Linked DNA regions of Notamacropus eugenii. The protein of the gene in region 1 interacts with the protein of each later gene in a pairwise test. Links are inferred from orthologs where the notes say so. Each region holds a gene or a part of one and is shown on either strand. Other genes may lie near its edges.

What was found.
Region 2: the proteins of FBLIM1 (region 1) and CUTA interact in binary tests that used the Homo sapiens proteins (3 or more experiments, as listed by UniProt). The two-hybrid records come from large-scale screens. The link is inferred for Notamacropus eugenii from reciprocal best matches to the Homo sapiens genes FBLIM1 and CUTA.

The regions. Positions count from the first base shown.
Region 1 is NC_092876.1:55,217,386-55,221,297, forward strand, and holds the start of FBLIM1 (filamin-binding LIM protein 1), read left to right. Parts: upstream 1-1,702; 5' UTR 1,703-1,721; intron 1,722-1,859; exon of another isoform or gene 1,860-1,938; 5' UTR 1,939-1,994; exon of another isoform or gene 1,995-2,067; intron 2,068-3,912. UniProt on the Homo sapiens protein: Serves as an anchoring site for cell-ECM adhesion proteins and filamin-containing actin filaments. Is implicated in cell shape modulation (spreading) and motility.
Region 2 is NC_092873.1:89,415,227-89,418,217, reverse strand, and holds CUTA (protein CutA), read left to right. Parts: upstream 1-801; 5' UTR 802-886; coding exon 887-929; intron 930-958; exon of another isoform or gene 959-1,028; coding exon 1,029-1,075; intron 1,076-1,299; coding exon 1,300-1,505; intron 1,506-1,624; coding exon 1,625-1,684; intron 1,685-1,773; coding exon 1,774-1,819; intron 1,820-1,913; coding exon 1,914-1,963; intron 1,964-2,068; coding exon 2,069-2,171; 3' UTR 2,172-2,224; downstream 2,225-2,991. Other genes in the region: PHF1 (PHD finger protein 1), read right to left, coding at 2,707-2,991. UniProt on the Homo sapiens protein: May form part of a complex of membrane proteins attached to acetylcholinesterase (AChE).

The DNA.
Region 1 (3,912 bases):
CTTTGGGAAACTTGGGGAGAAAACAAAGACCCAAGGTGAAGGTTTTGTAGAATGGATTTTGAAAGTCGGGCAAAGAGGAGAAAGTATAGGGGATAAGGGGTAGAAGGTGGGCCCTTTTGACAGATCTACAACAGTCAGTCAACAAATGTTTATTAAATGCTTACTGTATACCAGGCACTGTGCTGAATCCTAGGGAGACAAAAAAGGGCAAAACAGGGCTTCCCCTCAAGAAGCTTACAACCTGTAAATAGGTACACATAAGAGACTGAGGGGGAGAAGATGGAAGTCAGTGGGTTATCTGGGCTCATTTCAGTTCAATTCAACAATCATTTATGAAGCGTTATGTGCCAGGCACTGAGCTTTGAAGATACAAAGACAAAATGAAAGAGTCCCTGCCTGCTCTTAAGAAATCCTTGTACTGGGGAGATTAGATGTATGCAGATAAATAAATTTCCAAACCTTGGATTTATGCATGAGTAGTTTTGTGCTGGAATTTTCCTGCCACGCATGAAGCCTGGGGTTCAGTTCCTGGTCTATGTCTTTTTAATGAGGAGAGGGGGAGGGACAGTTTGATAGAATGGAAAAAGCACTGATTTTGGAGGAAGGGGACCTGGATTCAAATCCTGCATCGACATCTATGAAGCTAGAATGATCTGAGTTTCTTCCTCTGTAAAAATAGCCATTTGGACCAGATAGCCTTTGAGGTCCCTTTGAGTTGTAGATCTCCAGCCCTCAGGACTGAGGGAGTCAGAAAAGGGCATCCCTCAGGAGTGGGCAATCAGAAAGCTCTCCCAAGTCTAGGGGTGATTTTAAGGGTCTTGATTCTCTTGGGGGTGTGCCTCTCTCAGTGCGGGGGGAGGTCCCCTTTGCTAACTCCCAGACAGCCGATCAGTGGAGGGGGCTCCTGTGTTGGGTGAGGGCAGTTTCACCAGTAGCTGCAGCTATGTGGTTTTAATCTGGGAGCACCAAGGCGGAAGTTATTGTTTACATCCAAATTGGACTCAGACTTCTCATTCCAGCTGCTTTGCTGAAGGCTCGCAAGGCCTCTGGAGAAGAGGTGTCCCTTGTCCCTTGCACAGGCCCCACACAGTCCTTAGCCTGTGGCCCCATGAGGCCTTCAGGGGACCATCTCTCGACAGCCTGAAACAGGCCCCCATTCTCTTTCTCTGCCAGGGCTAAGGAGGTCCAGGGAACATGTTAGCCCCTTTACAGGGCATTCATGGGGGTAAAATCGGGTGTGATGGCAGGACAGGAGGATTCAGAGAAAACTCAGGGAGGTAGAAAACCCAGGCGACCTGATTCCCAGCCTTGGGCTCAGCCTGCTGGCTCTCACCCAGATCCTTTCTCCAGGGGAAGGGAAATCACACCTCTGGGGGGACGATAGGGACAGGGACTCTCGGGACAGTCAGCAGCTGGGAAGGGGGTCAGCGTGGAACTCGGCAGTCATCCGAGGGGGCAGGACAGCAATAGGGGTGGGGTAGAACTTCTCCACCCTACCTGCCCCTGGCCAATCAAACCAAGAAGGGGAGGGGGGAAGACAGTCCAAGGAAAGGGAGAGGGGGATGGGACAAAGGGAAAGGAGGCTAGAGAGATTTCTGAGCAGTCAGAGTAGGGGAGAGGGGGTAGTGTTGGGACAGGGGGAGCGGGGCGCTGAGCCCCGGGGCAGGTAAAGGAGTTGTTTCCTGTCAGAGGTTCCCCCTAGAAGTCTTTCACCTTTTATGGTAAAGGGATTGCTGTGGGACCGGCTGGGAAAGAGGGAGGAAGAGAAGGGAGTGGGGGAGGGAGAGAGGGAGGAAAGAAGAGGAGGAGGGGAGAGAGGGAGGGAGGAAAGAAGAGGAGGAGGAGAGGGAGGGAGGGAGGCTGGCAGGCTGGGGCCGGGAGAAAGGAAAGGGCTGTGATGTCAGCGGGGAGGCTCGCTTACCTCCCTGACCCCGGCAGAAGGCACTGCGGGGCTGCCGAGAAGGCGTCCGGGACTGGCGGCGCCCGGAGCTCAGGTGAGCGGAACAATGGGGACTCCGCGGCAATGAAGGAACAGTTGGGGAGGTCCGGGCGGCCGCGCGGCTGCAGGTTCGAGCCCCAGCTCCCCTCGGGATCGGGGGAGGGGTGAGGAAGGAGTCTGGGGGAGACCCTCTGAAGGACAGAGACGGACAAAGCCAGGGGATCTGTCCCGAGTAGTGCCCGGGACCGGGGGAGGTACCGGTCCGGGGGTGGGATGGGGGAAATCGAGGAGGTAGGAGATAATGCTCACCCCAAGGGCAGGAAGGGGAGTGAGTGGCAGCACCAGTGCTCTACAGACCTCAGCTGCCCGAGCATCAGCAGACACCCTACCCAACTTCTTACCGATGGTAAAGGAATTGTCCCCGTCTCTGTAGAGACATCCCCCAGGCCAACCCAACAATCCAACAAGATTTCGAGCTAAAAGAGCGCTTCGAAGTCTTCTCGGCTAACTCCTTCACTCCACAGACAAGGAAACTGAGGCACAGAGGGGTTTAGTGACATGCCCAATGGAGATTCGAACCCACGTCGTCTATTGTAAATCCAGAGCTCTCCCACTATATTAAGTCGAAGCATCTGCTTCTAAATCCAGACCCTGGGACTCTGCCTGGTTCCAATCTCTACACTCATGGAGGGGGAGGGGAAAGGGGGAAAGGGAGAGGGAGGGGAATGAAGGGAAGGGGTAGGTGGGGGTTGGTGGTTCATAGCTTCACTAGTCCCTTCAAAGGATAACCTACAGTTCCCCTTGTCCGCTTGACAAGGACTGGGCGCTGCCTATCCCTGGGACACCTCCCTGGCTGGGAGTGGAGAGTTTGTGGAAAAGGTCAGCTCACAGGAGAGGACCTTCAGAGAAGGTTGGGGGTCTGAACCAATCCTCAAAGAGCTAGGGAACAGACGCCTTCCAGAGGGCTCCTGGTCCTCCTTGTAGATAATAGAATTTTAAGCTGGAGCAAGTGCAGAGGTCATTGATATGACCCCTTCATTTTATGGGTGAGGAAACTGAGACCCAGAGAAGGCATACATACCTAAGAGGCACAAAGCAGTAGAGCTAGGACTCCCTCAAATTCAGGACTTTTCCTCCTACAACAGTCAGGCAGGGGGTCCCCTCTCCCTGCCCCTCACTCCATCATCTCTGTGCCCACCCTCCCCCTGAGTAGGGCAAGACGTGGAACAGTCAGTGAACATTGCCCAGCTTCTTGGGGCCTCCCATCCACCCCCAAGCTCTGCTGAGTGGAAGGAGAGGCCAGAGAAAAGCTATTTTTGTGACTCCTAATTATCACAGAAGATTAAAGCCCAGTCTGTCCCCTGGGACAGGACCTGAGCAGCCCGAAGTACTGGGTTTGTGCCCCTTCTGGAGTACCACCCAAGCTCTGCCGCCCTCCCCAACCCCAACTCCACCGACTCTGTGTATGTGTGTTTGATGTCTCTTGTTTTTACATCACTTTCATTTCCAAATAGAATCATTCCTCCTTGTAGCAAAGAATAAAAAGGAGAAAAAAAGGAATTTATCAAAACTCACCAAAACATCAACCAAGTCTGACAGTCTATAAAACGTCCTTACACATAGTCTTTCACTTCTGTAAAGGAACACCCACATCCCTCCCAGTGATTAGATTAAAGTATTTATCAATCCCTTACTAGGTACCAGGCACAGGGTTGACTATTCCATACCTCTCCCCTTCTCAGACCCTCCTAGCTATCCTTTCTAGAACCTGTCAGTCAGTTAACAGGCATTTTAATGGTATTTTTCCTCATTGCAGTTCTTCCCATTTTCTTGCATTCTTCCCATTTTACAAAGAAGTAGACTGGAGTCTGGGAGCTGAAGTGACTTAGCCAAGGTCCTACAACCATTAATTGTAGAGGCATATTGCCTGGATTCGATTACTTGCCATTAGTGAGAATCCAGGCAAGTCCCTT
Region 2 (2,991 bases), on another chromosome or scaffold:
AGGAATTTTTAAATGTTAGTCTTCATCTAATTCTGAAATTCTGGCTATACTGTGGAAGGGGGCATGAACCCCATTTCTCATCACTTTGTGTCACATCCAATTCGGTGATCCCCAAGAGTTCCAAATGATTCCAAAGCACTCCCTTTCCTCTCTTTTCCCCTCATATTCTCTCTGGACTTCTGCACTTCCCACTTGCCAACTGGGTTTCTCCGGGGTCACAACAACTTCGGGGCTCAACCCCTTCAGTTTACAGTCACAAAGGCCCTAGGTGCTGGACTGGATGGGATGCTACAGCCGTGTCTTCATCAAAGGTGGAAGTCCTGGCTCACTGTTCGGCTCCTCCTCACTCACCACGGTCTGGACAGTTTTATTAACTGTTGGTGGCAAAGGGAAGTCCCACCACCAAGTTGCACTCCATACTTAGTGTAAGGATGACTCCACACTCACCAGCCCGACACTGACGCAGGGATTGGGCGGAGTCTTCTGCCTACCGCTCCGCCCCAAACCCTTGTCACGTGCTATGGGGAACTGACTAAGGGTTGGCCGGCTTCCGTCTCGCGCGGAAGTCCTATTTTGGCTGCGAACAACGTCTAGCCCTCCCTCCCCTCCCCTTGGACTGTCCTCCTCGTCATTCTACAGCTTCCTACATCACGTGACGAGAGAAGACCGCAACGAGTCGAGTTCTTGGGCAAATGATTTTTAACGGTCATTCAGAGGCGGAGGTGGGGACGGCACGTGTCCATGGATCCAGCTCCTGATTGGCCAATCCTTCCCTTTCCCTCCCATCGCCCAGCTCCTCTAGAGGGCGGGGGTAAATCGAACACGCTGGACCTCTGGGATTGCGGGAGGGGGGGCGGTAAACTAGGAGCTTCCTTCGTCACGTGGTATGGTGAGGGTTCGGGCCTGCTTATCACGTGGTCGCCATACAGGTATGCTTCCCCTGATTTTTATGTGCCAGGCTCTGGGACAGTTTCCTCTCGCTCGGTGACGTGACCTTTGACCCCGACCCCCTCCCTTTGGCCGCCTAGGCTGCATGTTGGTGGGGCGGGGCCCCCAGGTCTGGCTCGGCGGAGTGGTGAGTGACGACCCCCTCCCCTTTCGGAAGATCCTTGAACCTGCCCACCCGGCCTCCAGATCCATCTTCTACCCTCCCCTCCCCTTCTGGGCAAGAGTCCGTGCCTCAGTGTCCTAGCTTAGGGTCTGGGCTCTGCATCCGGGATGACTGGCGGTGAGGAGGGGGAGGGCTGGGGCTGCGGAGCTGGGCTGGCCCTTTGATGGCGCCGCCTCCCCTCCCCCCAGGCCGCTTCGCTCCTGGCCTTCCTGTGCATGCACTCGCTGCTCGCCTGGTTCCCCCCCCTGCGGCTGCTCCCCCGAGCCCTCTCCATGACCGCTCGACCTCCCGAAGGCCCGGCCCCCGCCCCCACCGGCTCCGACTACGTCCCTGGCTCCGTCTCAGTGGTCTTTGTAACCTGCCCCAATGACAAGATCGCCAAGACTATTGCCAGGTTGGAGGAGGGGTCGGAGCGTGGGGTGGAGGGGCAGGCGAGAGCTTCTTGGGAGCCTTTGGGGTACAGGGCGTGGGAAGCAGTCTGCTCCGACCTGAGCGAGCTTCCCCGATTTCCAGGGCTGTGGTGGAGAAGCGACTGGCCGCCTGCGTCAATCTTGTACCCCAGATTACGTCTATGTAAGTCTTGGGAAGGGGTGTGCTGTTTCCTAGGGAGGGAGGGTGTGTATCTCCTCTCCCCATTAACTCATCCTTTTGTTGTCTTTCAGCTATGAATGGAAAGGAAAGATCGAGGAGGACAGTGAGGTGATGATGGTAAGAGCTCCCCCCTTCCAGCTCTTTCCTCCTAGGGTGTTTAGCTCCTGCTCCTCCTGTTCAGTTTCCTGATCTAGACCTCTCAATCCTTCAGATGATGAAGACTCAGACTGCCTTGGCACCGCCCTTGACAGAATTTATTCGGTGAGGACATCAAGATTAGTTTTCTGGTGGGAGTGGGCGATGATGTATTTTCAGGTGGATGAGGAAATACTGCTCAACTTTTGTTGACCTTTCCTCTTTCTCTAGTTCTGTTCACCCATACGAAGTGGTAGAAGTCATTACATTGCCTGTGCAACAGGGGAACCTTCCATACCTTCACTGGGTAAAAGATAGCACCACTCATCAGTGATGACTTCTCAGGCTAACTTCCACACACTTTCTCTAATAAATCCTGACCCCGTAGTGCTGCCTCTTGATCTTTTCCTTATTACATGTATTACTTGCTGTGAGTATTCATTGAGGGTATAGTAGTAAGCCCCAACCCATTTCCATCCATTTTTCCTCTATCAAGATAATTCAAGTTTCTGAAGGGTATATTTATCTTTATTTCCAACCATACAGAGCCCAGGATTCCCTGTTCTATCCCCCTCCCCTTCCCCTAAGGGGTTAAATAACTTTTAAAAATATAAAAAAAGCTGTAACAAAATATCACGGGAAATGGGAAAAAGGCTGTAGGGTCAGGAATCATGAAGGGGTGGCTGAGGAAGAAAGGGGCCTCTCCCCACCTGACTCCAGCCTGGGTGGTAGGGAAGGAGCCCCCCACCCCAGACCACGCCCCCAGGTACATCCCAGCTGCAGGTGAGGTCAGAAGTCAGGGTGTGAAAGTGCCAGTTGTATGTGTGTGAATAAGGGCTAGGGAGAGGAGGAGCAATCAGCTCCTCCTTTTAGAAGATGCCTCCTCCACCCCACTCCACAAGGTACTGCACAGAGCCATCAGGTCGAACCCTCCGAGCCAGCACACGGACAGGGTCTCCTCGGGACAGGTACCCAGCCCCTACCCGGGTTCCCACACCAGCTCCAGGAGATAAGCCACGACACAGAGGGGAAGGGCCCTGGGGAACTGATCTTCGGGAGGGAACAGGGGAGGGGCTTGGGGATGAAGATGATGTTGAGTTGGGAACACTCCTTGGGGAATCTGAAGGGAAACCAGCAACTTGAAGGTCCAGGGG